5 linked regions of the Xenopus tropicalis genome follow. Each later gene encodes a partner of the first gene's protein in a complex. Links are inferred from orthologs where the notes say so. Each region holds a gene or a part of one and is shown in the gene's direction. Other genes may lie near its edges.

The links.
Region 2: strn (region 1) and strip1 share a complex: the UniProt entries of both Homo sapiens proteins name them as parts of the core of STRIPAK complex. The link is inferred for Xenopus tropicalis from reciprocal best matches to the Homo sapiens genes STRN and STRIP1.
Region 3: strn (region 1) and ppp2r1a share a complex: the UniProt entries of both Homo sapiens proteins name them as parts of the core of STRIPAK complex. The link is inferred for Xenopus tropicalis from reciprocal best matches to the Homo sapiens genes STRN and PPP2R1A.
Region 4: strn (region 1) and pdcd10 share a complex: the UniProt entries of both Homo sapiens proteins name them as parts of the core of STRIPAK complex. The link is inferred for Xenopus tropicalis from reciprocal best matches to the Homo sapiens genes STRN and PDCD10.
Region 5: strn (region 1) and strip2 share a complex: the UniProt entries of both Homo sapiens proteins name them as parts of the core of STRIPAK complex. The link is inferred for Xenopus tropicalis from reciprocal best matches to the Homo sapiens genes STRN and STRIP2.

What each region holds. Positions count from the first base shown.
Region 1 is NC_030681.2:50,048,167-50,054,260, forward strand, and holds part of strn (striatin), read left to right. Parts: intron 1-1,938; coding exon 1,939-2,075; intron 2,076-3,032; coding exon 3,033-3,208; intron 3,209-3,554; coding exon 3,555-3,602; intron 3,603-4,392; coding exon 4,393-4,514; intron 4,515-5,658; coding exon 5,659-5,826; intron 5,827-6,094. UniProt on the Homo sapiens protein: Calmodulin-binding scaffolding protein which is the center of the striatin-interacting phosphatase and kinase (STRIPAK) complexes.
Region 2 is NC_030678.2:72,083,482-72,090,113, forward strand, and holds the start of strip1 (striatin-interacting protein 1), read left to right. Parts: upstream 1-2,777; 5' UTR 2,778-2,784; coding exon 2,785-2,910; intron 2,911-5,534; coding exon 5,535-5,604; intron 5,605-6,632. UniProt on the Homo sapiens protein: Plays a role in the regulation of cell morphology and cytoskeletal organization. Required in the cortical actin filament dynamics and cell shape. Part of the striatin-interacting phosphatase and kinase (STRIPAK) complexes.
Region 3 is NC_030683.2:120,829,804-120,835,897, reverse strand, and holds part of ppp2r1a (serine/threonine-protein phosphatase 2A 65 kDa regulatory subunit A alpha isoform), read left to right. Parts: intron 1-715; coding exon 716-806; intron 807-1,996; coding exon 1,997-2,097; intron 2,098-3,214; coding exon 3,215-3,447; intron 3,448-4,497; coding exon 4,498-4,645; intron 4,646-5,406; coding exon 5,407-5,562; intron 5,563-6,094. UniProt on the Homo sapiens protein: The PR65 subunit of protein phosphatase 2A serves as a scaffolding molecule to coordinate the assembly of the catalytic subunit and a variable regulatory B subunit.
Region 4 is NC_030681.2:112,893,824-112,900,541, forward strand, and holds the start of pdcd10 (programmed cell death protein 10), read left to right. Parts: upstream 1-2,701; 5' UTR 2,702-2,796; intron 2,797-4,149; exon of another isoform or gene 4,150-4,306; intron 4,307-6,718. UniProt on the Homo sapiens protein: Promotes cell proliferation. Modulates apoptotic pathways. Increases mitogen-activated protein kinase activity and STK26 activity. Important for cell migration, and for normal structure and assembly of the Golgi complex.
Region 5 is NC_030679.2:87,142,953-87,149,046, reverse strand, and holds the end of strip2 (striatin-interacting protein 2), read left to right. Parts: intron 1-2,354; coding exon 2,355-2,559; intron 2,560-2,820; coding exon 2,821-3,071; 3' UTR 3,072-5,681; downstream 5,682-6,094. UniProt on the Homo sapiens protein: Plays a role in the regulation of cell morphology and cytoskeletal organization. Required in the control of cell shape. Calmodulin-binding scaffolding protein which is the center of the striatin-interacting phosphatase and kinase (STRIPAK) complexes.

The sequences.
Region 1 (6,094 bases):
TCCTGCGAGGCGAACTTCTCTTTATAGCTGCCCTCACCTGGTAGATCTGCTCATTCACCTATATATCTAAACAGGGTCATATGTATAATTTGGGGGGGAAAAAAGCACAAATCCGGTATTTAAAGGAGAAGGAAAGTTAAATACTAAGTAACCTTAATCAGAAAGGTATATGTAACTACAGCCATAAGCACTCACAGAAACGCTGCACTGACTTCTCTGTAAAAAGAAACAGGATTTATTGTCTTTGTTTTCCTGTGCCAGAGTCTGCGCAGCTCTCTCCCTTCTCCTGCTGCCCCCTCCCTCAAGAATGCTAAGAACTCCCTCCCCCTTAGGAATGTGTGATCTGAGCCAATCAGCAGAAAGCTGACTCATAATCTTACAAACTGCGCATGTACACCGGTCTTGGTGCAGGAGCATGGCATTATGGGAACTTTCTTTACAGAGCTCAGTGGTTTTTTTTTCCTATGAGGCTTCTGATCATCTGAATGGGAGAAATATGGGGAGACACAAGGGCACTGTTGAGAGAACTAAAGGTATGCCTACAGGTTGAAAATAACTCTTTAATAGCCTTTCCTTCTCCTTTAAGTGTAATAAAAGTGGTTTCCTGTTATGCACCACTATTGTGACTTTCTGAGCTGAATAGTGTTTTTATTATTTTGCACCATTAGGTATCTCTTAATTTGAGAGTATTTCATCCATTAATGTGCAGGTAATGGAAACTGTTGCTTAAGTCTATCAAAAGAAGCCATTGTTCACCTTTGCCAAGCATCTCCTATGGTGAGAATACCACACCCTTCCAACATAAGGTTTTTTCCCAGCTTAGCAATATTAGGAAAGCAGACATTTTTCCAGAAAGGGGTCTAAGGAAGTATATTAGTAAACAGCATTAGTTGGACTGTTTTTTTGGCAAACTTGTTGCACAAAAATCACAACATGATTGGTACAGGTAGAGCCCAGCAATGTGCTATGACGTTGGTAAACTGACTGATGATTTGCGTTTTCCACCTAAGCTGCCAAGTGGCTTAATTGAGCCTCAGTGTAGTACAAAAAGATATTGGGGAAAGCAACACTTAGTCAAGGTATTTAGTTGACAAGGGCGGGAGCCTCCCCAAATCAGCTGTGTAAATAATGTGACAAAGATACACTAAAGACTAATTGGGCAAGGGGCTTGCCAGAGACCATAAGTTAGTTAGGGAAGGAGTATCACCTTTTTAAGTTGTATTCTACCCATTGGGCCTATTAAGAAAGATTTCCAAGTTTTGCTTTTGTTAGTTATGAAATCTTTTAGCAGAAGTATGTTTACGTTATAGTATCCAGAAATAGGTAGTTTGATCACTACCCCCAAATAGGTAAATTGATTGACTATTGGGGAAGGTTGGATCCACAGGTAGAATAACTTACTTATTTAGCAGCACTTGTAACAGCACCCTTAATTTGAGCAAATGTGGTGCTTAGGCCTAGGAGACTTACCAGGGAAAGTCCTTGATCACCCAAATATACTAAAGTATTGTCTGTGCATAATTGTATATGTTCTCTTGCACGTGAAATTGGGGTGTTGTCTAATTGCTTGTGCAAATGGCTTCATAGCTAGGGCAAAGAGCATTGGGGACAGGGGGCATCCCTGTCATGTGCCCCTTTTAAGTGGAAATTGTTCACTATTGGAGCCATGGACCACTATTGAGGCCTTTTACAGAAGTCAGGACCAAGGTAAAAAAGTTTCAGAGTGCGCCACAGATGAAGGGTAGATGTCTAGTGAAGTCAAGTTCTGAGGACATTTTTCTCCCCAATATGGTTTTATGCAGCTTAGTTACCATTGTAAAATTGGGAAATTGATCATTTTAAATTATTTGCTTTACTTGACACTTTCTGGATATTGCGTTTCCACATAAAAGATCACATTCTTTTAAAAGTAACAAGCGTGTGTTGTCTTTTTTTCAGTGGAAGCATTAACTTTTCCACCCTCATCTGGAAAATCTTTTATCATGGGAGCAGATGAAGCTTTAGAAAATGAGCTTGGACTTGGAGAGTTGGCTGGACTTACAGTTGCCAATGAAGCAGATTCTTTGACATATGATGTAAGTTCTCCTTCAGAGGGAAGAATTATCAAATAATTTTTACATAAACTGATATTTGCTTTTCATTGTTATTTATGTTGTTTAGAAAGCTAAGAATAGATTGCATTATGTCTTTTTATAGCTGAACACTTAATTATTACATTTTATGTACCTATGATGGTTTTTGATCGATCAGTTCAGTTAAACTAAAGAAGCCTCTCAAATAAGCTGTCACACAGTGTCAAGATTACTGAGCAAGTCCAGTTGACTTATAATTGCCACTACTAGATATACTGATGTCTCTTTTTCCTTTCTGTGTTTTTCTCTTGAAAGCTGTCATAGAGGAGCTGTGTGTTGTACAATGTAAAGGGCTAGTTCACCTTTAAATTAACTTTGAGTATGATGTAGTCAGTGATATGAGATATTATGAGATCATTTTTTTATTTAGGTTTTTTTAGCTCTACAAAATGAAATTTCAAAAGCTATCAGGCTGCTACGGTCTAATTTATGCCAGCAACCAGAGATTTTTGTAACGGACTGAAAGATGCAGCAGAGGTTATCAATATAATGATAAGCAATTAAATAAAAAAGCAGCCCTTTGCTGCTGTAGTTACGCCAAAGACCCCAGACACCTAGATAGCATTTTAAAATGCAGGCTGGAAAAAAGCAGAAGAGAAGGCAAACAGTCCACGTAAAAGGATTCTAAGAATAGGACTATTAATAATGTATTTAAAGTTAACTTTAAGGTGAACTACACTTGCAAAAAACAGTGGAAGTAGTTGTTAGAAAGTTATTATAGGAAATGGATTTTATGATCACTATATTTTAGGCTGTGATTCAAAATATTGCCGTATGGTTGGTTTTACCTTTAGGAGGTAGGTGTATTATTTGGTTATGTAGCATTGTTAAAGTTATTTGTATATAATTCCTTTTTACATAAAACTATAAAGATGTGTGAGTTGTCTTTTCTCTCTCAAGATTGCCAACAATAAGGATGCGTTAAGGAAAACATGGAACCCTAAATTCACATTGAGAAGTCACTTTGATGGCATACGTGGCCTCGCCTTCCACCCTTCAGAGCCAGTGCTTATTACAGCATCAGAAGACCACACTTTAAAAATGTGGAATCTCCAAAAGACTGCTCCAGCAAAAAAGTATGTTTGTGCTTAAACTATGCACTGTTTTTGATTTTTATTACCATAGTGTGTCCTAGGCAGTACTGACAATTTCTTTCTTCCATTGCACCTTGTTGGTTGTAGCTCCTCTTCACTTCATGCAGTTTGGGCTGTTAGCCCAAATAAATGGAAAGATGGAATGTGGTTGTCCATGTTTATGACCAGTCCATATAGTATCCAGCCTTTTTGCACAAGGGCTGATTGGTCAGATACTGTGGAGGGTTGACCAGTTTATGGCCATTTATTACACTCAAATAATTTTTGCAAAAAAACTATAAAATAGACAAGTCAGTTACATATATAAATTACACTTTTTCTCTTTTAGGAGTACATCCCTTGATATAGAACCAATTTACACATTCAGGGCGCACAGGTAAGAAACAAGGTTTTCTTTTTTGCTAATGTTTCTATTTAGATCACCGTTTATATTTGTGGTAATGGGTAAAGTTAAAGATTAAGAGAAATTTTTAATAGCTGTGCAGTAAAATATTTAGGCATTGATTAAATTAAATGCATCATACACCAATGACTTTTCAAAGAAGAGACTATATTTGAAATATATGTTTTTTTAGTCCCTTTTATATTAAGGTATTTCCTAACATGGTAAACTGGTGCCTGTTGTATTTATCCGCTTGAACCGCAGTGTAACAAAGGTCCATAATTTATGCACATGACTGCCTTCAAATTGAACATGTTCTAAGATTAATTCAAGTTTGATTTGACTTATTAAATCATATATCAGTGTTTAGTATCTCTCGCTTGTGGCAGACGTGTGATCAGTACACTGCGCCAATTTAATGTGCTTGTGCCCGTGCCATTGATGAGTTGATGCCACATGCATAATGAGCTAGTAGGGAGACTCTCTCATTAAAAGGGTTTTAACCTTCAAATTAACTTTAAGGATGGCAGAGTCATTAATATTCAATATTGATATCCTCAATAGGTGCTCTTTAAGGTAAGGCAGTAAAATATCTAGAATGGCTAGACATTGTACTGGATTAGAACTAGTGTTATTTGACTGCGCCTAAGTATCACCTTGCAAGCAATATTTTCAATTGTCAGAAGTAATTGCTGATAGGTTATTTTTATCTTCTACTCAACGTTGAATTTTGTTTTTTCGTGTTTTTAATTAATTACTCAAATAAGCATCCTATCCTTTCCAGGGGCCCAGTACTTTGTGTAGTAATGAGCAGTAATGGGGAGCAGTGTTACAGTGGAGGAACAGATGGTGTTATCCAGAGCTGGAATACTCCTAACTCCAACGTGGATCCATATGATTCTTATGGTATGTTACAAACTTAGCAGTTTGCAGCAGAGGGACATCAAAACTCATCATATTCATGCACTTTTTCACAATTTTTAAAATCAAATTTTCTGTTTAATGGGTAAAAACAAACTTAAAAAGCACATATGCCCCTTGTTCTTCTCAGTGCTGATGAGATCACAACACAGTGCATTGGCTATTAAAGGAGAAGTAAACACAGCCTTTGCTATAACGACCAGTATATTGCCTTTTCCACTCCCAAACCCCATTGGTTTCTCAGGATTTGTTTATGCCTTTCAGTTCCGACTTTTGAAACAATGTTGCAAATTAAAGAAGTGCACAGATTGTAAAGTGTTAATAAATAACCATATCCAACTGAAATATTGGATATTGTTTAATGTGTATTAGAAATTGTTTAGTGTGCTGCTTTAATAAGTCAGTGTACGATTATTCCATGGTATTTACAAATGAGCTAATGGACAATGGTTGAGGAGTAAAACCAAATTAATTATTTTGAGGTACCGTACTAGCATTATCTTTTAAGGGAAGCGACTTTGTGTGATGCTGAGCAAGTTCATTATGGCATTCAGAATCTTAAAGTGGACCTGTCACCCAGACATAAAAAGCTGTATAATAAAAGTCCTTTTAAAATTAAACATGAAACCCAAATTCATGTTTATATTAACACATCAAAACCCATTATAAAGGCAATTAAAAATCCCAGCTGTCAATCATACATTGCTTGCCCCGCCTCTATGCCTTAGGCATAGAGGCGGGCAGTGCACATCTCACTTTTCCCCTCCCTCCTCATCATCTAATTGTGTAGCCAGTGCATGGGCATAGGCATCTGGTCCCCCATTCTGGCACATAAACAAGATTTTGGCATGATACAAAGCTTGTCTTCATAACAGTGTCCACAAAATGGTGCCTGCCTGCTTGCTTTGATTGAGTAATTCCAAGACTGAAGGAAACAAGATTTGTATTATTTATATAGTGTAAGTAAAGTTTATTTTGCTAAATAATTTGGAGTTATTTCTTAGGGTGACAGGTCCCCTTTAAGGCAAAGCAAGTTTTGAGAGAGAGACAATTTTAAAGTCCCTGTGTCTAGAATAATGCTGTTGAATGTATGAATGTTTGCTTTTTTTTTTTTTCCCCTTAAAAACAGACCCTACTGTTCTGAGAGGAGCATACGAGGGCCACTCTGATTCTATTTGGGGATTAGTTTATAGTGCAGTACATCAACGTTTATTGTCAGCCTCTGCAGATGGAACAATACGAATCTGGAATGCTGCTGAAGTCTCTCCTGCATTAAGCACATTCAATGAAAACCAAGGTAATTCAATTAACATTTAAAGTAGTTGATGGATTCTTTACATTATTTTCAGTTTTTTTTTTGTGTTTTTTGTATAATATTTTATGGAAAAGAAGAACAAACCCCGCCCTCCCTGCATTACTGTCAAGTGTCCCTATCTTTGTAGCTGCTATAAAAGTGCAGAGTTGGCAGGTGCCAACTACTACAAATACTACTTGTATATATTTGTAAGTCTTTCTACTATGCAAGGTATATTTGTACTTAGTAATCCAGTGGGAATGTATCATGC
Region 2 (6,632 bases), on another chromosome or scaffold:
ACTCTCCCCTGCCGACAAGTTGTCGGTGCAGTGAGAGACCTGAACAGGAAGTGGGGGCGGAGCTTCACTCTGAACAAGGAAGGAGTGGAATAGAGCAGAATGTAACTCAGCAACCAGGTAAGAAAGAACAGAGGGACAAAGGCAGGCAATCTGGGAAGCTGTTTAGAGTTATTTTATTAATAGAAAAAAAAAAGGTGAACTTACTCTTTAAGGGCCATCTCCTGGGATAATAGGATTCAGAGTGCACACATACATGCTAGGCCTCATCAGCCAATTAATGGAAAGAGTTCTGTCTTTTACTTCCACACTACTTCCTGTTACAGTTAGAGCTGCATTATTTCTGGTCAAGTGATCTCTGAGGGAGCGCACAGCCCATCACTAAATGGTGGCTCAAGGGAAAAGATGTAAAAGGGCAATATTTACTGATATATATATTCAGTTTGACAAGATTCTTTTATAGGCCACTTAACATAATATAAACTATCTTTTGGTTAAGTATTCATTCTGGGGTATAGTTTTCCTTAAAGGAGAATGAAAGCTTATCACACTCATTATTTATAGTAAAGCCCTCAGTATAGTGTGTAGGATTGCTATGCCCATTTTGCTTTGTATATATTATAACACCCTTGTATTTACAGTTTGCACCATTTCATTTACAGAACATGCCTACAACTTTATTTTATTGTGAAGGAAACAATAAATAGGACAAAATAACAGAAAACTTCAGTCACCCCCCCCCCCCCCCCCACTAAAGTCAATACTTTGTAGAGCCACCTTTTGCTGCAATTACAGCTGCAAGACACTTTGGATAAGTCTCCAACACATTTAAATGTTTCCCCTTAAACCACTGTAACCCAGTCTCAAATCACAGGCAGACTGACACAGGTTTTGCTCCAGAATGTCCCTGTATTTAGCACCATCCATCTTTCCCTCAATTTGGACCAGTTTCCCAGTCCCTGCTGCTGGAAAACATCCCCACAGCATGATGCTGCCACCACCATGTTTCACAGTGGCGATGGTGTTCTTGGGGTGATGTGGGGATGTTGGTTTTGCCCCAGACATAGCATCTTCCTTGGTGGCCGAAAAGTAAAATTTTACGCTTAGTGGGCACTGGGCTGACTAACAATGTTTTAGGGGGTCCCTGCCCTGGCCACAAATGTTTTAGGGGGGCCCTGGCCACAAATGTTTTAGGGGGGCCCTGGCTACCAATGTTTTAGGGGGTCCCTGGCTATCAATAGTTACATAGGGTTGAAAAAAGACCAGTGTCCATCAAGTTCAACCCATCCAAGTAAACCCAGCACACCTAACCCACACCTACCAATCTATACACTCACATACATAAACTATAAATAATCTCTAATCTAAAGGGGTGACCTCTGGTGCATTGATTGTTTTTATGGGAAAAAAGAACATCCCCCATCTGCCTATAATCCCCTCTAATGTACTTGTAAATCAATGTTTTAGGGGGCCCTGGCCAGCAATGCTAACAATGTATGTGTGTCCTTTGTACTGATGGGAGGGGTCACTGGGGGCGGGCACATGAGAAGAGGGGGGCCCAGAAAATTTTGTTGTGGGGGGCTTCATGATTTCTCAAGCGGCCCTAAGTGTGTATATATATATATATATATATATATAATCTGTTCTTTGTGTTTGCTCAGTTTCCCTTGTGTAATATTACATTTAAACTCGGAAACAACTCGCTTTGCAAATATGCAGTACCAGGTAAAACAATGGAGCAGCAAATACTTTTTCTCATCACTGTAATTACAAACTAGGGTGTATGTTCTATGGCCCCATCCTACTAAATTAGCAGGGATCTCCACCTTCACCAGGGGGTCCCAATTAATAGTCTGATGGACACCTAGGCCCCCTGAATGGTAAGCCCTGTCTCAAGTAAAATAGGGCCTCAACGAAACAAAAATTGCCCCTCCTATACAGTGTGTTCTAACCTGTCTCTAAGCTTAATTTAAGACAAAACTCCAACAAAACCTTGCCCACTCATCCACAAGCCCCATCCCTTTTAAGAACCTGGAATCATGCCTTTTCATCTCAGGACACCTGACTGCTGATGTACGTGTACTCCAATAATGATTGCCCATTATCAGGGGCCATTTAGATAACTTAAAAATGTAAATTGTGCATTTCACTTATCTATGGATAGCTAATGTGTGTTGCCTCATTTTACAATTTTACTTTTTAGAAACATCAGGTGCACAATTTGCAGCGCTCATACCCTAGATCTGGACACTTCCTTTTGCTCAATTGTATAAGCACTCTGACAACGTTACAAGAGTTTCTTCTACTGAAATTTTCTGACTGTAGTTTGGTTGATAGAACTGACCAGCAGATGGTGCTATTATTTCAATTTAGACGCATTAGCTGTGTAAAAACGTTTACCAGCTTAAAATCTATGAATACCTAATAAAAGTGGCAAGAAGCCCAATTTTACATGAATGTATTTAGAGTTAACGTTTCCTTTAAGGGTAGCCGGCTTTCAAACATCGCTGTAACTGCAGAGAATACATGGTTAGATATATAGATAAATGCAGGTCTCAGCAATAAAATACATGTTATGTAGACAGGAATATACAAAACACTGATTATCACACTGGTGCCGATACATCAGTCTCTATAAGCCGCCCAGTTTGTCAAAGAAAGGGCGAGACTCTTCATACTATCGCGATGTTTGGAAAGCAGAAACAGACACGCCTTGGGCTTTGCGTTCCACCGCAAATGTTCTACTGAGACGGCGGTGTCACGTCACGTGGGCGTCGCCTGAGAAAGATGGAGGCTTCCGGTTCTCTGATTGTCAACAACAAAATGAGAACAGGAATCGGTGGTGCGGTAATTGGCAGCCCCCAACCGGGCAAGGGACGAGAGTACAACCGTACACAGCGCAAGGATTCAGAGGTATGAGTAAAAGTGGTTGTTATGTATAACTATATTGCATTAACATTTGTGTTTGATTAGTACTCAGTTATCCTCGAATTACCCTTGTAATGTAACTGTGTGCCAGCTTTTATGCTTACTTAGTGACCGGGGTATGTCTGGGGAACCTGTGACAGGAAGACAAGACAGTTCTTACCTGATTAAAAAGCCCATTCCAAAAGGAATCTCACATCAGTTTTGCGAACTATTCTAAACTGCTGACTTGTCTTAGTTTTACTGTTCACCAAAAATATATATTATAGTTCTTCGTGGTTGCTGTCATGTTAATATAACCTATAGTTATCAAAAATATTTAATTAAATCTCCGTCATCCTGAAAGTTGAGCATTTCATTTAGAATCACACATTATATTCCTGTTCTGCAGGAAGATGCTGTGACAGAAAGGCACATGTACCTCTGCAAATGTAGTGAGAAAAGTGCAGTTTTGAGCGTAATTGCTGCAGGTTTTTGAAAAAATGTTGCTTTTTCCCCCAGAATTTGAGTCATTGTGGTTCTCAGTGGAGTGATACGCCTGGCACAATTGCTCTGTCTATTGCAGTTGTATCTGATTTGCAACTGTGTACCCAAAATTGGATGCAATTGCGCCAAAATCCAGCTGGCGTCAGTTCTACTGTTTGGTCTGTACCTGATTCTTTAGGTGCAGCAAGTGTGTGGCAGCTCCAGGCTTCCCCTGGTGCAGCAGCTCTCAATTTGGAACGGAAGGTAGGAAGGAGAACATAAAAGTGGTGCTAGGTGCAGCTGGTTGGGGGGAAACTGGGGACCACTATTGCACTCGTGGACGTAAATGAGCCCTAAAGTGTTCCTGGAAATATCATGCCCATGTATTATTCAAAAAGTTGAATTTAATGCAAAGCTAAGATTTCACCACTTGCACCTTTCTCAGGGTGGAACAAACAAATGGTATTTGGGAGCAGCTGTGCATATTGTAAAAGTAACTGAGGAGAGAATTCTTTGGGCTGTAAACATGATTCAGACTTAAGAAAATAGTATAAAAATGTACCACTCTGTCACATGGTTTCACAGAAAATGCCTGAAAGTTAGTCTGAGGGTAGAGGGCCCTGGGTACTCATGAAAATATTTCAATGAGCAAAAGATCTCCTAGCATGGCCTTGCTTTTACTAGTGAGATTTTTTTTTTTTTATTGGTCTGTGTTTACTGCTTCATCACCTGGGGTTTACAATTGCTCTCGTAATGTGTTATGCTATAATGTGACCCTATTCCACGGTTACTCTAAAGAACCAGGTTGCAAAATGAAATCACTTTCAGTTTCATTGTTTTCCCTGTTAAGTAAAAGAGCTACTGAAAATATTACCTAAGCAAATTAGCCTTTGAGGAAAAAAGGTGTAACACGTACAGTGTCTGAACATCTATGAATAAAGTTAGGTCTCAAAACTGATTACATTTAAATCTCCCAGACTACTAAGAAATATGGTTTTGTTTGCATCAGTCTTATGAGAAAGAATTGATATCTTTCGAAGTTATAATTTTTTTTTTCTTTCCAAGAGTGCAGTCATATTCTGTGACTAGTTGCAAGTGCATTGAAAGCTGTCCACACATAATTCAGCGTGGAAATGCAATAATAGGTATTTGTATTTGCTCTCTGTGAGTGAACAGGTATATCCCTTGCCTAGAAGTGCACACAGAGGGGGCAGAAGGCAGCAGATCAGCTTTTCTCTGCTGGTGTATCTACAGCAATGGGGAAAAAAAACATTCCATGTGCCATTAGGGCGAATGGTCGCAGCGACTTTCCCTTCAAAGGATCCTGTATATGTTGCTGCGACTAATAGCACACAGGTTTTCGCTGCGTAGAGAAATCGCAGCGACTTTTTAAAGACTTATGCCGACTAATCGCCTTGTGTGTCTTCACCCTTAGGGCTCTGGCACACGGGGAGATTAGTCGCCCGCAACAAATCTCCCTGAAAATGTAAATCGCCGGTGGGATGGCATAAGCGGCGGCGCGCTTTCACTGAAATCGCGGAAGTTGCCTTGAGAGGAAACTCACATTTTTTTTACATTTTTGCCGGTGGGATGGCATTTCTGGGAGATTAGTCGCCCGCGAACAGGGAGATTTGTCGCGGGTGACTAATCTCCCCGTGTGCCAGAGCCGTTAGCCTTCCAATGTTTTTGGATAAAAGGTTTTTTTTTATGACTTTCTGGGCTTTTGTGTCCAAAGAATGATCAGATAAGACATCCTCTTACCACAGATATTAGTTATTTGATTTAAAGGGAAGGTCTGAAAATTGTTGTTAGTTTGACTGTTTGGGTATAATCTAACAATCTGATAATGATAGAACAATTTGACTGGTCCATCTCCCAGTCTCTCCTGTGAACTATCATATTTCCAAGACCGCAGTCTTCATGTTGATGATTTATTGTTCTACAGTATACATCAAAGATGACCATTTGTTGGTGATACTATTTACATGCCTTTTGTAATTATTTTTATGTGTGCAGACAGAAAACATAAATATGCCATAAAGTGTTTTAGCTGTTTGTTGCCAACTTGAATGATAAAATAAATTTAAAATTGTTGCACTGGGTTTCTTTTTTTGTTTATTTTTTTATGGCACTTCTGTTCATTTTAGGGCTATTCGGAGTCTCCGGACCTAGAGTTTATATATGCTGATTCTGACAAGTGGGCAGCAGAACTTTCAGGTAAATTGTAGGGCTTCATCTTGGTCATCTACACTAAGTACAATAAAAATATTACTCAACTTATAATTTTTTTTACCATCCTTTTACTTTCCTACTTTCCAACATAAGTGTGCATAGTTGGTTCTCTCACAATATGCAAAAATTAGTACAAATATAACTGCAATGCTGCTTGCTTTTGGCTGATGCATTCTTCACAAACAAACAAACTGCTACCATTGTGTAAACTTTTATCAGCTGGTATATGAATGTATTTTCTCAGTACCACTTTTTTTATTAAATAACATGAAAGAATTGAAGAGCCTTTTTAGCCTATGTCTTACACAGTAATTACAAGTCACCAGTTATGTCATAGGGAACTTTCAATTGTGCATGCTGCATGTATTCTTGTCATTAAGAGAGTCACTCATTCATACAATCATATACCTGATTCAGTCATTACGTGTTTGTTGTCCCACACCAGCATGGCCCAGATAAGTACAGGTATTGGGATCACTTATCCAGATACCCGTTATCCAGAAAGTTCCAAATTACGGAAAGGCCATCTCCCATAGACTCCATTATAAGCAAATAATTTTAATTTTCTAAAATGATTTCCTTTTTCTCTGTAATAATAAAACAGAACCTTGTACTTAAAGGAGAAAGATTTCTTGTGTCTGTAATTCATGTGCCAGAGACATGCAGTTCTCTGCTCTCTCCTCTATCCTGCTTCCCCCTCCCTCAAGAACTTACTCCCCCCCCCCCTTTAGGAATGTGGATCTGAGCCAATTAGCAGGAAGCTGACTCATAGGGGCACATTTACTTATTTACGAACGCGCCGAGCGTTTTTTCGATCAGGCCATTTGTATTTTCCGCAACTTTTTCGGTGCTTGCGCGACTTTATCGTATTTTTCGTGGAAAAAAATTGGATCAGTTTTGCCACTGTTTACAATCGTTCAGTACAAAAATTTTGTGACTTTCGGATCGCCAATACGATATTATCTTGGCTAATACGATTTTTTCGTAAGCATTTTCATGATATTTGTGATCTT
Region 3 (6,094 bases), on another chromosome or scaffold:
TTAACCATTTAAGGAACTATGCATTACAAATACTTCCCAAATATGTTTAAAGCCGCTCTCTGTGCGTGTATTTTGTAAAACTGCTTGTTTGGGACCAAGTAGGCAAAGTTGGCAGAGCATCTGTTGCCATGGAGATGGTTCCAGAGAGAGCGTATCACAGCCCTAGTTTGCCCTTTACAGTTTTATGGCTGTGACATTCCCTGTTTTGATTGGTCAGTAGTTTGTAGCTTATTCATTGGTGCTTGTGTATTGTGCAATAAACTGTACCTTTACACCAATGGTAATTAAATGCCTCTGCATCCCAAAAACATTTCTGTTCTTGTCCTAATTAATCAAAATATTGAAGAGGAAGCAAAGCATCTGTTGCTGTTGATTCTCACCAAGCTAAACCTGAGGCTTCTCACCGCCCTACCTCATATTGCTAATTATAGATGATAATGATGGTGTTCTGTAGATGTACAGTGTGGAATGGTAAATTTCACTTGATGGGTTTAAATGGTTAATGGTTTGCATTACATAACTTTCCTTAAAGAAGAGGAAAGGCTGAATCACCGGGGGGAGAATAAAGTTTAAATAAGTTTTAGTTCCTCTTTAATATGCTAATAATAGAGATTGTTGTGGTTACAATGATGCTTTTTATTACTGATACATAGAAAATATCAAGCGCCATTTTGAAATCTTGCATGCTAACTTAAATTCTATTTTGCTTTTCCAGCTTCGTCTTAACAGCATTAAAAAGCTCTCAACTATTGCTTTGGCCCTGGGGGTAGAGAGAACACGCAGCGAGCTTCTTCCATTCCTAACCGGTAAGTCATACGCTGAGGATTTGCTGGACTGAATAGAGAAACCTGTTTCACAAAGTTAAAAGAAAAGCTGTGGTATGAAATAAGGAATACTTCCTGTATTGCTAAATTCAGTTTTTGCTGGGCAGCAACCAGACAGAACAGCAAGAGCGCTTCTCTTACACATGCATTATATTAGCAGTGCACAATTGCAGGTATGGGACCTGTTATCCAGAATGCTGGGGACCTGGGGCTTTCCGAATAAAGGATCTTTCCGTAGTTTGGATCTCCTAAAGTCTCCTAGTCTGCTAAAAATCATTGCAGTATTGAATAAACCCAATAAGATTGTTTTTGCCTCCAATAAGGATTAATTATATCTTATTGGGATCAAGTACAGGTGCTGTTTTATTATTACAGAGAAAAGGGAATAATTTAACCATTAAATAAACCCAATAGGACTGTTCTGCCCCCAATAAGGGGTAATTATATCTTAGTTGGGATCAAGTACAGGTACTGTTTTATTATTACAGAGAAAAGGGAATAATTTAACCATTAAATAAACCCAATAGGACTGTTCTGCCCCCAATAAGGGGTAATTATATCTTAGTTGGGATCAAGTACAGGTACTGTTTTATTATTACAGAGAAAAGGGAATCATTTAACCATTAAATAAACCCAATAGGGCTGTTCTGCCCCAATAAGGGGTAATTATATCTTAGTTGGGATCAAGTACAGGTACTGTTTTATTATTACAGAGAAAAGGGAATCATTTAACCATGAAATAAACCCAATAGGGCTGTTCTGCCCCAATAAGGGGTAATTATATCTTTGTTGGGATCAAGTACAGGTACTGTTTTATTATTACAGAGAAAAGGGAATCATTTAACCATGAAATAAACCCAATAGGGCTGTTCTGCCCCAATAAGGGGTAATTATATCTTTGTTGGGATCAAGTACAGGTAATGTTTTATTATTACAGAGAAAAGGGAAACCATTTTGAAAAAGTAGAATTATTTGGTTATAATGGAGTCTATGGGAGACAGCCTTTCTGTAATTCGTAACTTTCTGGATAGCGGGTTTCCGTATAAAGGATCCCATACCTGTACTAATATAATGAAAACAAAAAAAAAAAAAGAAAATAACGGCAAAAATGCTCAGAAGTGTTGGTATATGTCTCCTTTAATCCTCATGATTGACCTTCCATTTTTTTTTAGACACCATATATGATGAAGATGAAGTTCTTCTTGCTTTGGCTGAGCAGCTGGGGACCTTTACTTCACTGGTGGGGGGACCAGAATTTGTACACTGCTTGCTGGTGAGTATTTATTAGACTCCAATACAAATAGACTCTTCCCCAGTAATTATATAATTAGAATATTATAATTCTGTTTAAAGTGGCTGTTTGTGTTCATAATAATGTTTTCAAAAAGTATAAAATATATTTACTCCAGTAATTGAAAATAGGGGCAACTTGCTTTTTATTTATTTTTTGACCATTTTCTGTCCGAGTGTTTACGTTTTAAAAATCTTAGCAAGCCAAGTTGTTGGCTGTCTAAACTGAGGGGCTACCTACACACATAACAAGATTATAAATATAGGAAACTATAGGCATATCAACCATTCAGCTAAAGCTTTAAAGGAGAAGGAAAGTAATTTTGGCATTTTACTGCCAATAGATTTGCCACATTAGTGCCACCTAGAGCGCTATATTTATTCTGTAGAAACCGTTACCATACTTGAGTAAACAGCTTTAGACACTTTCTCCATTTGCTTAAGATAGCAGCTGCCCTTTTAAGTAGCTTCCTGCCTGCAGTCTAGCTGTTATAGCTGAGATCACACATTCCTGAGGGAGTTCTTATCATTCTGGTGGGAGGGGGAGCAGGAGAGAACTCTGGTCACCTTAATTAAGGCTGTTTCTGAGAGAGGAAGTCAGACAGTGGAACATCATTTTTACCAAAAAAAAGAGACCAGAAATCCTGTGTTTCTTTTGATAGAGGACTCAGTGCAGTGTTTCTGTGAGTGCTTATGGCTGTATTTACATAGTCCTTACTGATAAAGCTTACTGAGTATTTACCTTTTCTTCTCTTTTAAGAATAAGGAAATATGTTTTACTGTTTTTACTCTAATATACCTTCAGGCTGGTCTTTTCGCTGTATTTAGGTGAGCAAATGGGCAAATCTCACGTTAATTAGTATGGAGACTATTTCCCTCCCCCTTGGGGTCCAGCCTGGGAACCACTGATTTAGATGGTTGGGGACCTGATTTAGATGGTTGGAACAAAAAAACTATTTGTTTTTTAACTTTAAAAAGGTTTTGCAAAGGTACTGACCCTTTAAACATTTGATTAAAAAATTGGTGAACAGGAATAGCGCTGGATTTATCTACTGAGTTATCTATCATTTTCTAACCATCTCTCATTTTGCCTTGAAAAGCCGCCATTGGAGAGCCTGGCAACAGTCGAGGAGACCGTAGTAAGAGACAAAGCCGTTGAATCCCTCCGTGCCATTTCTCACGAGCATTCACCTTCTGACCTTGAAGCTCACTTTGTGCCACTGGTAAAGCGCCTGGCTAGTGGAGACTGGTTCACCTCCCGCACATCTGCCTGTGGCCTCTTCAGCGTTTGCTATCCACGTGTCTCCAGCACTGTAAAGGCCGAACTTAGACAGTGAGTACCACCAGATTGTGGCCTTACTTAAATATCATACAGTTATCCAATAAGCAGTGTCCTATACATGTATTATTATAATGCATAACATTACTAAACACATGACTAAAGACGATTATAACTATTATACTATATATCTCCCTGCTCTCTACAATGGGTAATATTTACCCATACACAAATGTATCGCACATTCTTTCTCATTGTAGTGAGGGTGAGGTTCTACTACTGAGTACTCCAGCAGCCAAAGGGTTATACCCCTTTTTATGGCCTGCTGGGACATTCTCCTTTCACCCTCATTACCTTATGTATGAGGTGGGACCAAATCATTAATGACCCCCTGTGGTTGTTGGTTTTAGGCCCATTTTCTGTAATATAATATTAGTACAGTGCCAGTACCCAATATTATAGTGAAAATAGGGGTATGCAGTGACCCATATGTGGGTGATAAGGATGATACCAAACATGAGGTGGTAATCCCTCCTAAATGGTGGGAATAAGCTGTCCCTGTTTGGTATCATTAGGAATTGTGTGACCGCCACACAACCAATATATATGATTTATGAGGAGGTGAACCCTATATATGAGGTGAAATGGATCCTTGTCTTTTTCCATAAATGCTCCCCCCTGCAGCCCTAGGTTCACAGCTCCTTCCTTTGATCCACAGTTCAAAAGAAGTGACTGGCTCAACTTCTTTGCCCAAATGGTGTCACTCCGAATTGTCTCCAAATTCAGATATGAATATCATGTTTGCATAGCCCTCCTGTGAAAGTGTCTAAAGGGACTCTTTGCAGACCTAATACCAAATGTTTCCAGTGTTAACCCTTTACAATGCCAGAGCAATACTACTCTGCAATGACCAATATTTTAGTGAAAGCTGACAAATATATTATTCATTATTGCTAACAAAATTAGGGGGAATAATGCGAGTACTATAATCTTTACCTACTATAATCTCTTCAGTCCTTTTAATGAAAACAGTTTTATTAAACGTTGCAATAAAACAGCACATTTTCATTATATAAAAAATGCGCACATTCTTTTTCTCTATAGGCACTTCCGAAACTTGTGCTCAGACGATACTCCCATGGTGAGAAGAGCCGCTGCTTCCAAGTTGGGGGAGTTTGCTAAAGTTTTGGAGTTGGAAAATGTGAAGAGTGAAATAATTCCCATGTTTTCCAACCTAGCATCTGATGAGCAGGTAAACTGATTGCAGGTCTTGCCACATATATTCTACGAGAATGTCCTGAATTAGAACATGTATATGTGTGTATATATATATATATAATATACATGCCGCCATTAAGCAAACTGAAAGCTTTTATTGCAGGTGAGGTTCTAACAATCGACTTCAAAATATCTAAAGACTGAAAACAGTTTGCAACTTTAGACACGGGCAGAAGCATTATTTATTTATTTTATTTATTTGTGATCGTTTACATATACTGTACATTACTTTTGTAAGGTTATTTTAATCTATTAACTGATTGATTGTAGCCATGGAAATATATATTTAAATAAATGTGTGTCTGCATGTATGTCTATATCTGTCTATAAAATATTATGGATTAGCACCCTCGTGTGAAAATTGTAATTTATGTACTATTGTACAGCATCTGTGCCCAAAGTTTCTGGGACCCTTTCTGTGAAACTTCACATATATTACATACTTAAGTGCTTTCCCCTAATAATGGTAAATTGGAACCAAATGGTATCGTTAATGAATTATTGAACTGTAAGTGCTTTTCAGTCCAGAAGTTGATACCCTATTTTGCCACAAGGTGTCACTATAAATGTTCAATCATAGTTTATGATACAAATTACTTACAAATTTAAATTATACTTTCATACACACACTTTCTAACTTAGTACCAATACTGTACTACTATACTCCGATATTTAAACCGTTGTTTATGCTTGTTTCTGATTTTTTTTGTTGTTTGTAATTCTGGCTTTTCCCAGGATTCAGTGCGCTTGTTGGCAGTCGAGGCTTGTGTAAACATTGCTCAGCTTCTACCCCAAGAAGAGCTGGAACCACTGGTTATGCCCACACTGCGCCAGGCAGCTGAAGATAAATCTTGGAGAGTAAGATACATGGTGGCAGACAAGTTCACAGAGGTAAAACCTTGATTAAAATTACAAAAAGAATTTGGCTGGGGTTTTTTATCCTTAAATTTATGTTAATGTTTACAAAGAATTAGATCTACTTTAGGTGTTTCACTGTAGCTGTTTTGAGCCTAGACTTAGTAGGAAGTGGCAGTGGACTGGCTGCTGTTGGGATCCTAATGTGAAATTTACCACTGCATAAAGCAGAGAACAGTAGTTTACGCTTTTCTCTACCTTTAACTCTTGCCTAGGGATGCCCTAAATCTGCCACGAAAGCTATGGCTAAATCCCGAACTGAATCAAAATTCACATACGTAAATTGGCTAAATTATGGAGGGTGACATTTGTGGACAAAAATTTGTCAACCTTTGGTCTGGCATTGTGATGCTTTTTTAAATATTCACAATAGTTAGAATTTGGGTTTGGTTTGTTCAGGCACTCATTCATCTAAATCAGGGGTCTCCAACCTTTCAATCTGCAGTGCATGTATTGTGATACTTACAAGCTGCCACATCATTGTGGTAACTACACCTGTACCAGTTGC
Region 4 (6,718 bases), about 63 Mb from region 1:
TGCAGGGGCCCTTTACTTTTTCTTTAAGGCTGATGGCACACTGGAAAAGTTGTTAACCAGTGTATTTTAGTTTCAATCATTTTTATTGGGATTTTTTAAACATTATAGCCAAATAAAGGCATTAAAATATTAACCAGTGTATTTTAGACAGTGAGAAAGTGCCCAAAACTACTTCTTATTGATTGGAATGTGGGTATTAAGAAAAAATAAAATTGCCCGGGTGGCTGCCAGGGTCTAAATGCATATGTATTAATGAGGCTTAATATGGCAAAGTATAAAGAGAAGAGCATATCAAGCCTCTTTAAAATTATCTTCAAATATGTTCTATGGTAACTATCAAGCTCAAGATATCGAAATAGCACTCAATAGTAAAGGTGGCCATATATGGGCTGATTGTAGTTTATCGGCCCATGTATGGGCACTAACGACGGGCCTGCCCGACCGACATCTGGCCTGAAATTGGCCTGATCTCAGTCGGGCAGGTTTGAAATTTAGTCAGATCGGGGACAGCATCAGCTTGTTGATCCGGTCCCCAAATGAGGGACATCTATACCCGTCTTTCTAATTCAATCGTTTGGTCCCAGAGACAAATGTCCGAATTAGCCCGATATCGCCGACCCGTAGGTGTGGCTATCAGGAGAAGATCTGCTCGCTTGGCGCCCTCGCCAAGAAAGCGGATCTTAAGGTGGCCATACACGCACCGATAATATCGTACGAAACCTCGTTTCGTACGATATTCGGTGCGTGTATGGTATGTCGGCGAGTCGACCGATATCGCAGGAAGCTGCTGATATCGGCCGACTCGCTGATCGGAATAGTTTGAAAATTTTGATCAGGCGCCATAGAAGGCGCCTGACCAAAATCTCCTTTCAGTGCTGAATCGGCAGAAGGAGGTAGAAATCCTATTGTTTCTACCTCCTTACCTGCCGATTCAGCCCTGAATGGTGTGTGGCGGATCTGACGATGTTTTGTGCGACCGATGGTCGCACGAAACATCGTCAGATCGCCACGTGTATGGCCAGCTTTAGAGTGTATGGCCACCTTAAGAAATCCAAGTCCGGTTTGTGATTCTTTCTAGTTACATTGGAGTAGTAGAAACAATAGGTTACCTGAAAGCAGTTCTAATGTGTAGAGCTGCCTCTTTCTGAAAGCTCAGACTCAGGCACAATGCACTGAGATAGCGCCTAAACACCAATATTACAGCTAAAAAAAAAAAAAAATTGTTGGTTAAGAATAAAAATTTTAAATGGTAGTGTAAATTATTCTTATTTGCTATATAAACAGTGTAATTTAGAAATAAAAAGTACACCATAAAAATCATGACCGTATCCCTTTAAAATCTAAATTGTAGAGAAACAGTAAAAAATAAAAGATAGAAAGCTTTATGTAAACAATTACATTGAAAATAAGGTGAATGAGGGAAATCACACTATATACAGAAATACATTTCTATTGCATAGCATAGCATAAAACTCTATCTGCGGCCCCACCACGTTCCTAAGGTCTTCTCCCCTCTAGTTACACCCCTGCCTTAAACCAGCCACTGAGATTTTTAATTACCGAATGGTGAAAGTTGCTTAGAATGACATTCTTTTATTATACAATAACCAGTTTGTGTGTGGAGGAACTTGTTAAAAGCTTATGAAACTTAAATATATTTAAATTACAATAAATACACAGTGTGGAAGGTGTGAGCACATAATACTCATCCTCCCAAGTGGGCACTGTACACAATAATACAAGGCAGCATACCAAAGGCATGCTCTATAACGAATAACCACTCTAGGCACATACAACTTCATTTGCCAACATATACTAATTCCATGCAGAACGACATTAAAAAGAAAAAATAACCCTTTATTGTGTCATGAGGTGCAAACCATTGTGCCCTCTTCAAACAGTGGGGCTGGGCAGCACAAAAGCATCAATTACTGACTTGGACTTTACCAAAACTGTGTTTCTGGCTAATGACTCCCTATAAGTGGATATAACTATATATCCCTATAACATACAGAATGAAGCACATCCATGCCAGGAGGGACTGTGTGGTACCACTGCACCTGTGCAAATGCGCTAATGATTCACCGAAATCCCATTCTGTAATATAACGGCACTCACAAGCACACCCCAGCCTGCGTCTCATCTCCTGCTATGTTACAAGCTGTCACAATACAACGGAGCGAAAAGCCCCATTTGCACATTACAATTAGAGAGACTTGGGTAGAGCATGCCAGGACCTGGGAGACGCATGGCAGCTGGGCATGACAGCATGGATACACAGCGCGGTTAAAGCGATACTCTCCGCTCACCTCTGTAGCTGCTCCCACACCACCGCCTCCTCCAGCTGAGTGCAGCCCAAGATTTTTCAGCTGCACCACAAGCTTCCCTGGTAAGTCTTACATCACGACTAACTAGCCAATCAAAACGGCACATGCCCACTTTCACAGCGCTTATTGGTCGGAGCAGGCCGCCCACCTTGCGTACTATCTGACAAGTGGGCATGTTTTGTTATGACAAGCCTTTACCTCGAACGGAATTTCGGGAGATGTAGTTCACCTGTGATTGTCTTGTTGTACGCCGATCATTGAAAAGAACTACGTTTCCCTATGTTCTCGGCACATGTTTAGGTCGGCCTCCTGAAAGGTAAACTCTTTGGACTGATTCCGGGCAACGCCTTGTTTCTTCTTCAGGACGGCGGACACTTCTCAGAGCGAACTTCCGGTGCCTGGGTATAAGGTTCTGGGGTGTTGTGGACACTGGGCCTGGTGAAGCTTCGCCTGTTCTCCGGATATACAGGTATTGCTCCGGTTTCTGGTTCTGGTGTCACGGCTGGTCCGATGCAGTTTGAAGTGAGAGTTGCCGGGTTTGTGGAGCTTCCTTGTGCTGAGTAATGCTAATCCCAGCTGGGCCTGGGGTGTCAGTGAGAGGAAGGAAGAGCCGCTCTGTCAGGCCAAAGGCTACTATTTATCACCGCACAAACTTCAGAGCTAGGAGGAGTCTGTTCCTCCGTGGCTACATTAGAGCCCGGCTTGCTCTCATAAACCCATAATATAGAACTGAAACTTGCTCCAAGGCATTATTAAGTATCTATATATAGAGAGAAACTTTGTGTGTTAGGGCCAGACTCGGGCTCGGGGGTTGGCAGAGCAAAATAACACGCATTCATTCATTATTTATATAACTATAAATGATTACAATTATGGGCAAGAGACCGTACCAGGAAACGAGCTATTTACTGGGGGCCATAAAGTCAAATTCATTAGCAGATTGCGACTTCATTAAGGCGAAGAAAACTGCTGATTCCAAAGGTGCTGATATTAACATTTATGGTATTATAAGTTGAAGGTATGACTGACTGACTAAATGTTCACTTAACAGTGAGTGGTATGAGTTAAGGAGAAGTAAACCTAAATATAGAATTCTGCATAATGAAAGCCAAGTCCAGTCTGTGCAAGTTTCCAATATACACTAATTGCTGATTTGAAAGGACCAGGAAAGTGAAAATGTTACTAAATATTAGTTATGCAGAGCAGCCCCTCATAACCCCAGACAATGACTTTATTTCGGCTGCCATCATCCTGGAGCTTCTGGGTCCAACTTGGCCAATGTTGCTTAAGTACTGGATCACCCCAGTATCATTGCTGGCCTGGTACAGTGCAGCCTGCTAACTTTACCTTTCCTTGGCCTTTAAAGTTATTTGTAATTGCAGTTACCATTAAAAATACTATACATTGTTGGTCCTGACTACAATACTTGTAACATTGTTGCAGTAAAGTACTTCCCTCCATGCCAAGGGTCAATACATTTCCCACAATGCCCTGCAGACTTTTTCTTTTTTCTTCTTTACTTGCTGCAAAACATGCAAGTCATTGTGGGAAAAGGAGTCTTGGCTGTAGAAGTACAGACGATTACAAAAATGTTTTAGTGGTACATGCTTAAGGACTGCTTTCAATAGTGATTACATTTACATATTTTAAAGAGAAACTTCACCAAACTCTACATAAATTTTATTTTAATAAGGAAATAACATGTATTTTTTGAGAAACTTTGCAATATATAGTAACAGTTTTCAGCATTTAATTTTACTTGCATTTGAAAGTAGTATGTTTTGTTCTTTTCTGCCAGTGTTGGACAGGATACCCGGGCCCACTGGGAACACCAACCACCCTCACAGTCTCCTCGACCATTACCCAGCCTCTCTAAACTTAGACCTGGTTGAATTGCAGCTGCTGGTTTGAGTCAGGGGAGTTTGGGATGCAGGGACCCATGTGGACTGGGGCCCACTATGGTTTTTCCTGGTTCTCTGGTAGGCCTCTTTTTTTTATAGTGTTGCAGGAGCCAGCACTTTTCTAGCCAAGGCTCCAGCAGTTCCCACCAGGATCTTACATTCTCTTTCACAGGTCTGTTAATAAGGTAGCTTCTGCTTCGTCTTTAAGGAGTCAGATCTAGTAGTGAAGATAGGGAATAGAAGTAGATTTACATTTAAATTCATTGATTTTGTTTTTAATTGATGGATACTGGAAAGTTGATTAGAATTAAATGTTCTTTCATAATGCAGAGATCTGTTATAAGCATCATCCACTAGAAATGATCCCATACCACAGCTAAACCAGGATGCTATGAATGCAGCAGCAAATTGTTGCTGGTTGTTCATAGACCTAGAAGTTGTTTGAGAAAGTGGTCAGCCCAGTTATATACCAGTCCAGCTACAAATAGAATTACTGGCTGAAAGACCAAAAGACTTGTATGTATAGCTCACACATTAAAATCTGGTGATGATCCAGTCTGTGACATTGTTCTCATTGGAGCCTTTAGTGAAGTACTTTCAGTGTATAGGTGATGTTATGCATTGATTATACCAGATATGTCTTACTTGTAGTACTACACCTGGGACTGAACCATAACTTTGTTTCTTGAAAATAGGCACTGATAACTTTGCCTATCCAGGTTTTTGAAATTTTCTCTAGGGCTATGGCAGCAATCCAGCATTCAGGTAATCATTTTAAGTGGCTTTATACTGGCTGAAAACTCACTCTGAAACTTTGCAATGGTTAAATGTGTAACTTTGGGTTTTTATGACATCTGACTAAAGTTATACTTTTCTTCATGTAGGCTTTAAGTGTCTGGAAAGGGTGTAAATCTCTGTTAATCATTAAGGTTATCACCTTTTCCTTACGTTTTTCTTCCCTCCTCCCCCACCCCCTTTAGTCAATGAGCAATACAGATTCTGCATAATGTTTAACAAATAGGAAAGATGCATTTACAAGAGGGTATGGTTTTATTTTTCTAAAGTAAATTGTGGAATCTGTAATCCAGTTATCCAAGGGTGGTGTTAATCCTACTCACTTTTTTTACTGCTCTGGTTTGTCATGGTGACAAAGGCAATAAGCTGATTACATTAACTGACAATTACTCAAAAGTAGTTAAAGGGCTTAAAAAAAAAAAAAAGTTTGCTTTTGGGTTTGCAACAAAAGACCTAACATTCTATACAATATACCTTTAATTGCAAAGACTTAAATGATTCTCCACTCTTAAGGTGGCCATACACGGACCGATTTTTTACTTACAAACGACCGATTCCCGAACAATCCGATGCTATCGTTAAGTTATCGTATAGTTGGTGGTGTACGAACGATCGTCGGCCCACTAAACGAGCCGACATTATCGTCCCCAAAATCGATCGGCCAGGTTTAAAAATTTTGGTCGTTTAACGATAAAATCTGCCAGTTGGTGTGAGTGTCAGACATTTGTCTTTCAACGATTGCTCTCTGCGCATGTCACGATTGCCAGCAGCGGAAGTCAACGACATTCAATCGTACGTAGATGTACGATCGTACGTATTTTACGATAATGATGCGACGAAATCTTTCCCGAATTATCGTTGCCCGTGGATGGCATATCGTATGGGAACTCGATCGCCATACGATCGTTTGTCGATATAATCGTTCATCGCACAACGAGCGAAATCGCCTCGTGTATGGCCACCTTTACTGCTGGGTGTGATTATTGAAACAGTGTAGCAGAAATTAGCTCCCCTCCAGCTGAGACTCTAGTTCATACAGTACCATGCATGCATTTTTTTTTAATGGTCTGGTTATCAACAGAATTCTGCTGTTTGTTGACCCTTTGCAGTCACTTGGAAAAAATAATGGGCTTTGTACCATCTGAACTTTATTTGTTTCTCTGTCTATGCTTTTGAGTTACCATAATTGGGGAAAAAAAAATCTACACACATTTTTTGGGATATGTGGTATATACACTTTTTTTTTTTGTTTTCCAGCTTTCTTATAGAAGTGCATATAGATATGTAAAAATTGTGTTGCCACAGTCACCCAGCAATCTCTCTAAGTAGCTGGCCTTTGAGCAGCCCTTTAGCATCAGCTTTTAAACTTCCTTTTCTGCTTATTTACGGCAGCCTCTAACCTGAGCTTAAAGGAACAGTAACATAAAAAAATTAAAGCATTTAAAGTAATTAAAATATTATGTGCTGTTGCTCTGCTAAAAACTGGTGTTTTTGCTACAGAAAAGCTACTATATAAATAAGCTGCTGTGTAGCCATGGGGGCAGCCATTCAAGCTGGAAAAAATGAGAAAAGGCACAGGTTACATAGCAGATAACTAGTAGATAAGCCCCATATAATGAGGGTTTATCTGTTATCTGCTAAGTAACCTGTGCCTTTTCTCCTTTGAATGGCTGCCCCCATGGCTATACAGCAGCT
Region 5 (6,094 bases), on another chromosome or scaffold:
CCTGCTTCCGTTCTGCTCCCCCTCCACCCCCCTCCCTTTCTCCGTGCAGTGCTCCTTGTAACAGATGTGCAGATGCAGGGAAAGAGGAGAAAAGGTCCGTCTCCTATCCCTCTCCTTTCCCTCTCTGTGCCAGATCACTAGTAGCCCATAAATCACTTTAAAAAAGACTCGAAGAAGGCACTAAATCAACTTCTGGATTAAACCTTCTGGATTAAACCGGAAGTCTACCCATCGCCATATCGCCTTTTGAGCTTGGCCCAGTAAGTCAATGGCAATGTAATTTATTACAAAACCACTATTATTGCATAATTTTAATGTTACATAGCTTAATAAAAGTATTTAGAACTGATATCTTTAAAGTGAAAATTTTGTTTTACTGTTCCTTTAATGCAGTGATTCCTGTGGGGACTCCTGTCTGGACTAGTTTCCAGGAAAAGTGTGTTGCCCTTTAAAGTTTCCACATCATACCATGCTGTATTTTGAAAAGTATGAATTGTTATATATCTAAGTGTCTGTGGCAAAATAATTATGTTTATGGACCAAGCAGAGAAGAACTTTTTAATGTGTTGTTCCTTATTAGTAATGGTTTCCAAGCAGTACATGTGAAAGATATAGTGTAGGTTATTAAACGGCGAATAAAGTGCAGTCTTTGTTCAAGTGAAGAGGTTTCCCAGCCATCTGTCTCCAATAGGAGGTCGTGTCCAGCCAAAAATATTAGATTTTAGGGCAGAGCCAAAAACTATTTAAGAGGTTTGCCTTGGTAGTTTGGCAACGGAGACATCTGTCTTAGGAGAGAGATTTACCATCTTAGTGTGTTTTTCAAGGGTTAGGTATGAATTATGGAGCAGCTGTAGGCCCATTTTTTTAAATCTACTAAGTAATTTTGAAATGTGTGTGAAGTTTTAGGATCTCTGTTAAAGTGAATTGTGGTATTACAGTTGTCCATTTAAACAGAGTAATTTCTTTGATATCTATGTTTGCATGTGAGTGGATTTTATTATATAAATGCACGGTCATTTTACAGTCTTGTATTTCCAAAGATTGTTTATGGTGTTGTTCTTGTCTATATCCATTCGTTTGTATGATGCTTGTCTTGTGAAGTGTAGGATTAGAAAGATACAGTATGTGAAGATGTAAAGGAAATGTTTTCTTTAATTTATGCTTGAGAAAGCAGTATATAGTTCTCTTTTGTATAATCTTGTATGGTCTGCTGTCCATTATCTCTACTAGTGTGAAGAAGGGAGCTATACAATTCCAAAGGGAAACTCAAAAATTCTCACAAAAAAAGTTTTGTCTGCATGGCTAAAAGGAATTTATAGGGGACATTGTTGGAAGTAATGAAGATGGTTTATTACTGGAATGTTTTGTACACCAACTGTTTTTTTCTGCAGCAGTTGGATTGCAGAAAAGATCCTATGCCTGCCATGTAGCTTCACTTTAGGGTTAGTCCATATGTGTCCTTTAAAAGACTTGTCATGGAAAATACATTTATGTTTTTTGTATATAATGTAATCTGTATTTTAAGTCACTTGTGTTATTGGTAAAGGTATGGAACCTGTTACCCAGAAAGCTCAGGACCTTGGGTCATCCGGATAAGGGATCTTTGCATAATTTGGATATCCATACCTTAAATCTACTGAAAAATCATTTAAACATTAAATAAACCCAATAGGACTGCTTTGCCTCCAATAAGGATTAATTATATCTTAGTTGGGATCAAGTACCAGGTACTGTTTTAGTACTACAGAGAAAAAGCCCATAATTTTCGAAAATTAGAATTATTTGCTTATAATGGAGTCTATGGGAGATGGCTTTCCCATAGTTCAGAACTTTCTGGATAATGGATTTCCGGATAAAAGATCCCATACCTGTATAAAGACCTTTCTATGCCCAAGGAAAAGCTGGCCGACCTATTTCACAGGGGGGGGGGGCTAACATGTTGGCATGTCCCAGTGAAATAGACTCTACACATCTCACCTCTGTAACAAAAAATGTGCAAGGGCTCCATTCATGGACCCTAAAAGGCAAAACTTTTGCACCTAGGCATGGTTAATGACCACTTTTATGTGGTCTGATATATTATGAGAACTTCGGGTCTCATATTGCCCAATATACTTAGCTCATAATACATCTCTGTATGAAGCCCAGTACATTCCTACTGCCTGAATTGACTTTAGCAGTCCTGAGTATTATTTAGTCCTTGCTAAACTTTTGTATACACATTAAGAAAATCTAAGCTAAATTTGCATCTTGATTTTTGTAAAATTATTGTGTCATTACCCTTCAGTTTGTATGTTAACCTGTTTGTACCTTGGTTAAGTAAAATGTGGCCCTTAACTCTGCTGGTTCTTTAGATGCTGGTGGTATTCAAATCTGCTCCCATTTTAAAGCGTGCACTGAAGGTCAAGCAGGCAATTCTGCAGCTCTATGTACTGAAACTGCTAAAGCTACAGACCAAGTACTTGGGAAGACAGTGGAGGAAGAGTAACATGAAGACAATGTCTGCCATTTACCAGTTGGTGCGTCACAGAATGAATGATGATTGGGCTTATGGCAATGGTATGTATCTTTCTTTGCATGGGAGGCAGGATTAATGACAGTCAATATTACACATATCAAAAATATCTGTGATATGATATTTGACCAGCACCAGTAAATGCTACCTGCTGTGATGTAATTAGACCAGTAGCAAAAACTTAACCTATTATTACATTATTCCCATTATTTAATAATTTGCTTTGCATATATCAGTGGTTTAATTAAACCTTTTTATATTCGCCTCCAAAAAAATTATGTCTTTATTGTATATTATTTTATTAGACATTGATGCCAGGCCATGGGACTTTCAGGCTGAGGAATGCACCTTGCGTGGAAACATTGAGAGATTCAACAGTCGGAGATATGAAAAGAACCCAAGCTGGGAGTTTGCTCCAGTAGATAATTGTCTACTAAGTGTAGTGGGGCAGACGCTGGAGCTTCCGGGGGATTTTCATTACACCTACGAGCTCTGGTTAGAAAGGGAAGTATTTTCCAAGCCAATCCACTGGGAAGAACTCCTTCAGTACTCATGACAGCTCGCACAACAGTGTTTTGATGTTTAATAATCAGCTAACTTATTCTGCTATGTTTTGTCTGTGACATAGCACAGCAAATGAAAAAGTAAGAGCCATAATAAACTAAATGTATGTAAAAATGATCAATGGACTGCAGGTGTTTAAGAAATGCTTGTAGGTATAGACTGTGAATTCTGGCAAATTCCAGAGGGGCTGCTGTAAGATGCCACAGACAGTCACTATTTATTAGGGGGAGGTTTGGACCTTTGTGTACATGAAATGCAACTCTTTACATTGAGAAAGTATTACCTCTAATGAACATACAATGTAATGGAGCCCTTTAACTGATTAAACAGAGCCAATGTAAAAAAAAAAAAATAAGTTTTTGCAGCAGAAAGATAATTATGATCATTTTTGTCACTTGCAGTAGCACAAAATTGTTTTCCTCAGACAGCAGAAGAACAATGCCACTTCTTAAAAAGCTTTACAGTGCATACTATCCCTAGAAATGGAAAATATACACATATAAGTGTATTGGTATAAAAACTTAGTCTGCCATGGTGCAGAGAAGCTAATGAATTGCTGATATGGGGTAATAAGGGATAAGATTCTGTCAAACATTGTAATTCACAATACTATGACTTTGTGCCAGCATGGATTTCCTGTATGACCAATAGATCTTGCCAAATACATTTTGCAGAGTGATTTGGCTAAATTGGAAAACTGGGCAGCAAATGGGGTCCGTTGTTGATATATGCAAGGTTATGCAGAATTAATTAATGTGAGTTATACACTAAATGGTAGTGTGTTGGGAGCAGTGCCGGGCCAAGCAGGCCAGGGCCCTAGGCAACCTGGTCGGCTTGGCCCGCCCACTGCCAACACCCCCCCCCACCCCCGTGCGCACAGGCACATGTGCACACAGGGGGGCAGGGGGATTACAGGGACTGCTGCACTGTCGGGGGAAAGGGTCCAGAACCGGTGGTAGGTGACAGAAGAGGTACCTGCCTGGCACCCCCCCACCATTGCGCCCTAGGCAAGGGTACCCCTAGTTCCGGCTCTGGTTGGGAGGTCCTTAATTGAGATTGTGGATAACAAACTATGTAACTGTAGGCAGTGTCACTCAGTGGCTACTCAGTCTTGCATGAAATTAGCATTAACTCAAGGGCTGAAAACATAATTTAGCCTTTTTCTAGGTGCATAGTAAGGCCTCACCTAAGTTAAGTTGGAGAGAGTGCAGAGATGTGGCACTAAATTTGTAAAAGCAATGGAACAATTAAATTGTGAGAGTATGAAGCATAATTTAATATAATAGCTCCAACCCCCCCATTTAACTTTAACATTCGCTTGTTTGCAGCAGGGGGATACATAGGGGTCGGGGGCCTGCTGGTGTGCGCTGGACCCTTGAAGATGTTGTAGGGGTGAGAGGAGGATGCTGACATGTTGTATGAAGTGCAGGATATGAGGAACTACCATACAGAAGACTCTGCACTGCAGACCTCTTGTACCCCACGCCCCCTCAGGCTATGAAAACTGGCTTTATTTTTTGTCAAAGTTAGTCTTGTTTATTGTGCGTTAATCACTTAAATTGACAGTTAATGGGCCCATAAAATCACCATTTTATTTGGTCTACTATTGATCAGGCTTGGCTTAAAATGCCACTCAACCATGTCTGCATGAGGCTGTGGATGCATTTTACAGCGTGACCCTGTGCAGGTTCTCTGGGCATCTGGCCCTTGGTCTTAGGGCTAAATGATTGGACAATCCTGATTTAAACCAGTAGATCTTTCTGTATGGGGCAAGGTGGGGCAAGTTGAACACTTTTAGATTAACTTTATGCTTTGGGGAAAGCAATAATAAACACAAAATTTTAGGGTTGTGTCTAATATACAGAGGTGAATATTTTAGTTCCACTCTACATTACAGTTGGAGGGTAATAAAACCATGCCTCTGTTTACTTTACATTTATGAGGCAGGTGGGAGAGAGGTAGTAAGCAAAGTAAAAGTGGGTCCTGCTACATATGTATTGTTTAACACTGGCAATAAAAAATCATAGTAAATATATTTTAATTATAAGCAGTAAGTTAATTTAATGGGTTCATCGAATAAAGGTGTACATTGTCATATATTTAAATACAAGATGATCTGTACCTATAGATATTCTGTTGCTCAAAACAAATGAGTTATTTTCTGAATGGTTTTTCCTTACTCTGGTGTCCAGATCATCTTTTTGCTACCTGTTGCTAAATGGACTTGAAGGTGTATTCAGTGCCTTAAATACTTTGTCTGTCTTTAGAAAATCCAGTAAATGTGAATAGGTCCTGTGATTTTATGCTGATGCCATGATGACATTTATCTATGAAACTATTCAGTGGCCTTGCAGTTAGCTGCTGATGCACCCATAAAAGCTGCCTTGTTTTCCAGTGCACTGCTTCATTTTAGTTTCTCCCTCTACACCCTTCCAACATACTGTCTAATCTGATAACTATCCTTAAACATGATGTTGTATTAAGAACTTGTATAGTCTTACAACCAATTTACCTTTTTATATGTACTTGTCTTATTAATAAGTTGCTTGAATATATATGTAATAAAGCTGTAGTATTTGCAATAAACTCAGTATTAACTTGCCCTGGTTTAAATAATATACCATGTAACTGTTCAAGAAAAACCCCGCCTGAAGCTTTCTCCGCACAGATGTAAAGTTAGGAATGTGGTCTTTATTCTGGTCCACTGAGTAGACTATGCCTTAATAAAATGGTGTTTAGCAGTATGGGTAATTGGTTGGTCATAGTAAGAGAGGCATTAAATGTGTTCAAGCTTATGTATTAATGTAGTGGCAGTCCAATAAGGTTTAATTAAATACTTTATTCTTGAACCAACAAATGTATTTTTTTAGTTGTAATATTGGTGTGTATACAGCCATCTCAGTACATTTTCCGAAGGAGAAAGCACTACACAATAGAACTGCATTCGAATAAGCTATTGTTTCTCCTCCTCCTCAGTGTAACTGGAGGTGTCATGACTTGGCTGACCTGGACTTG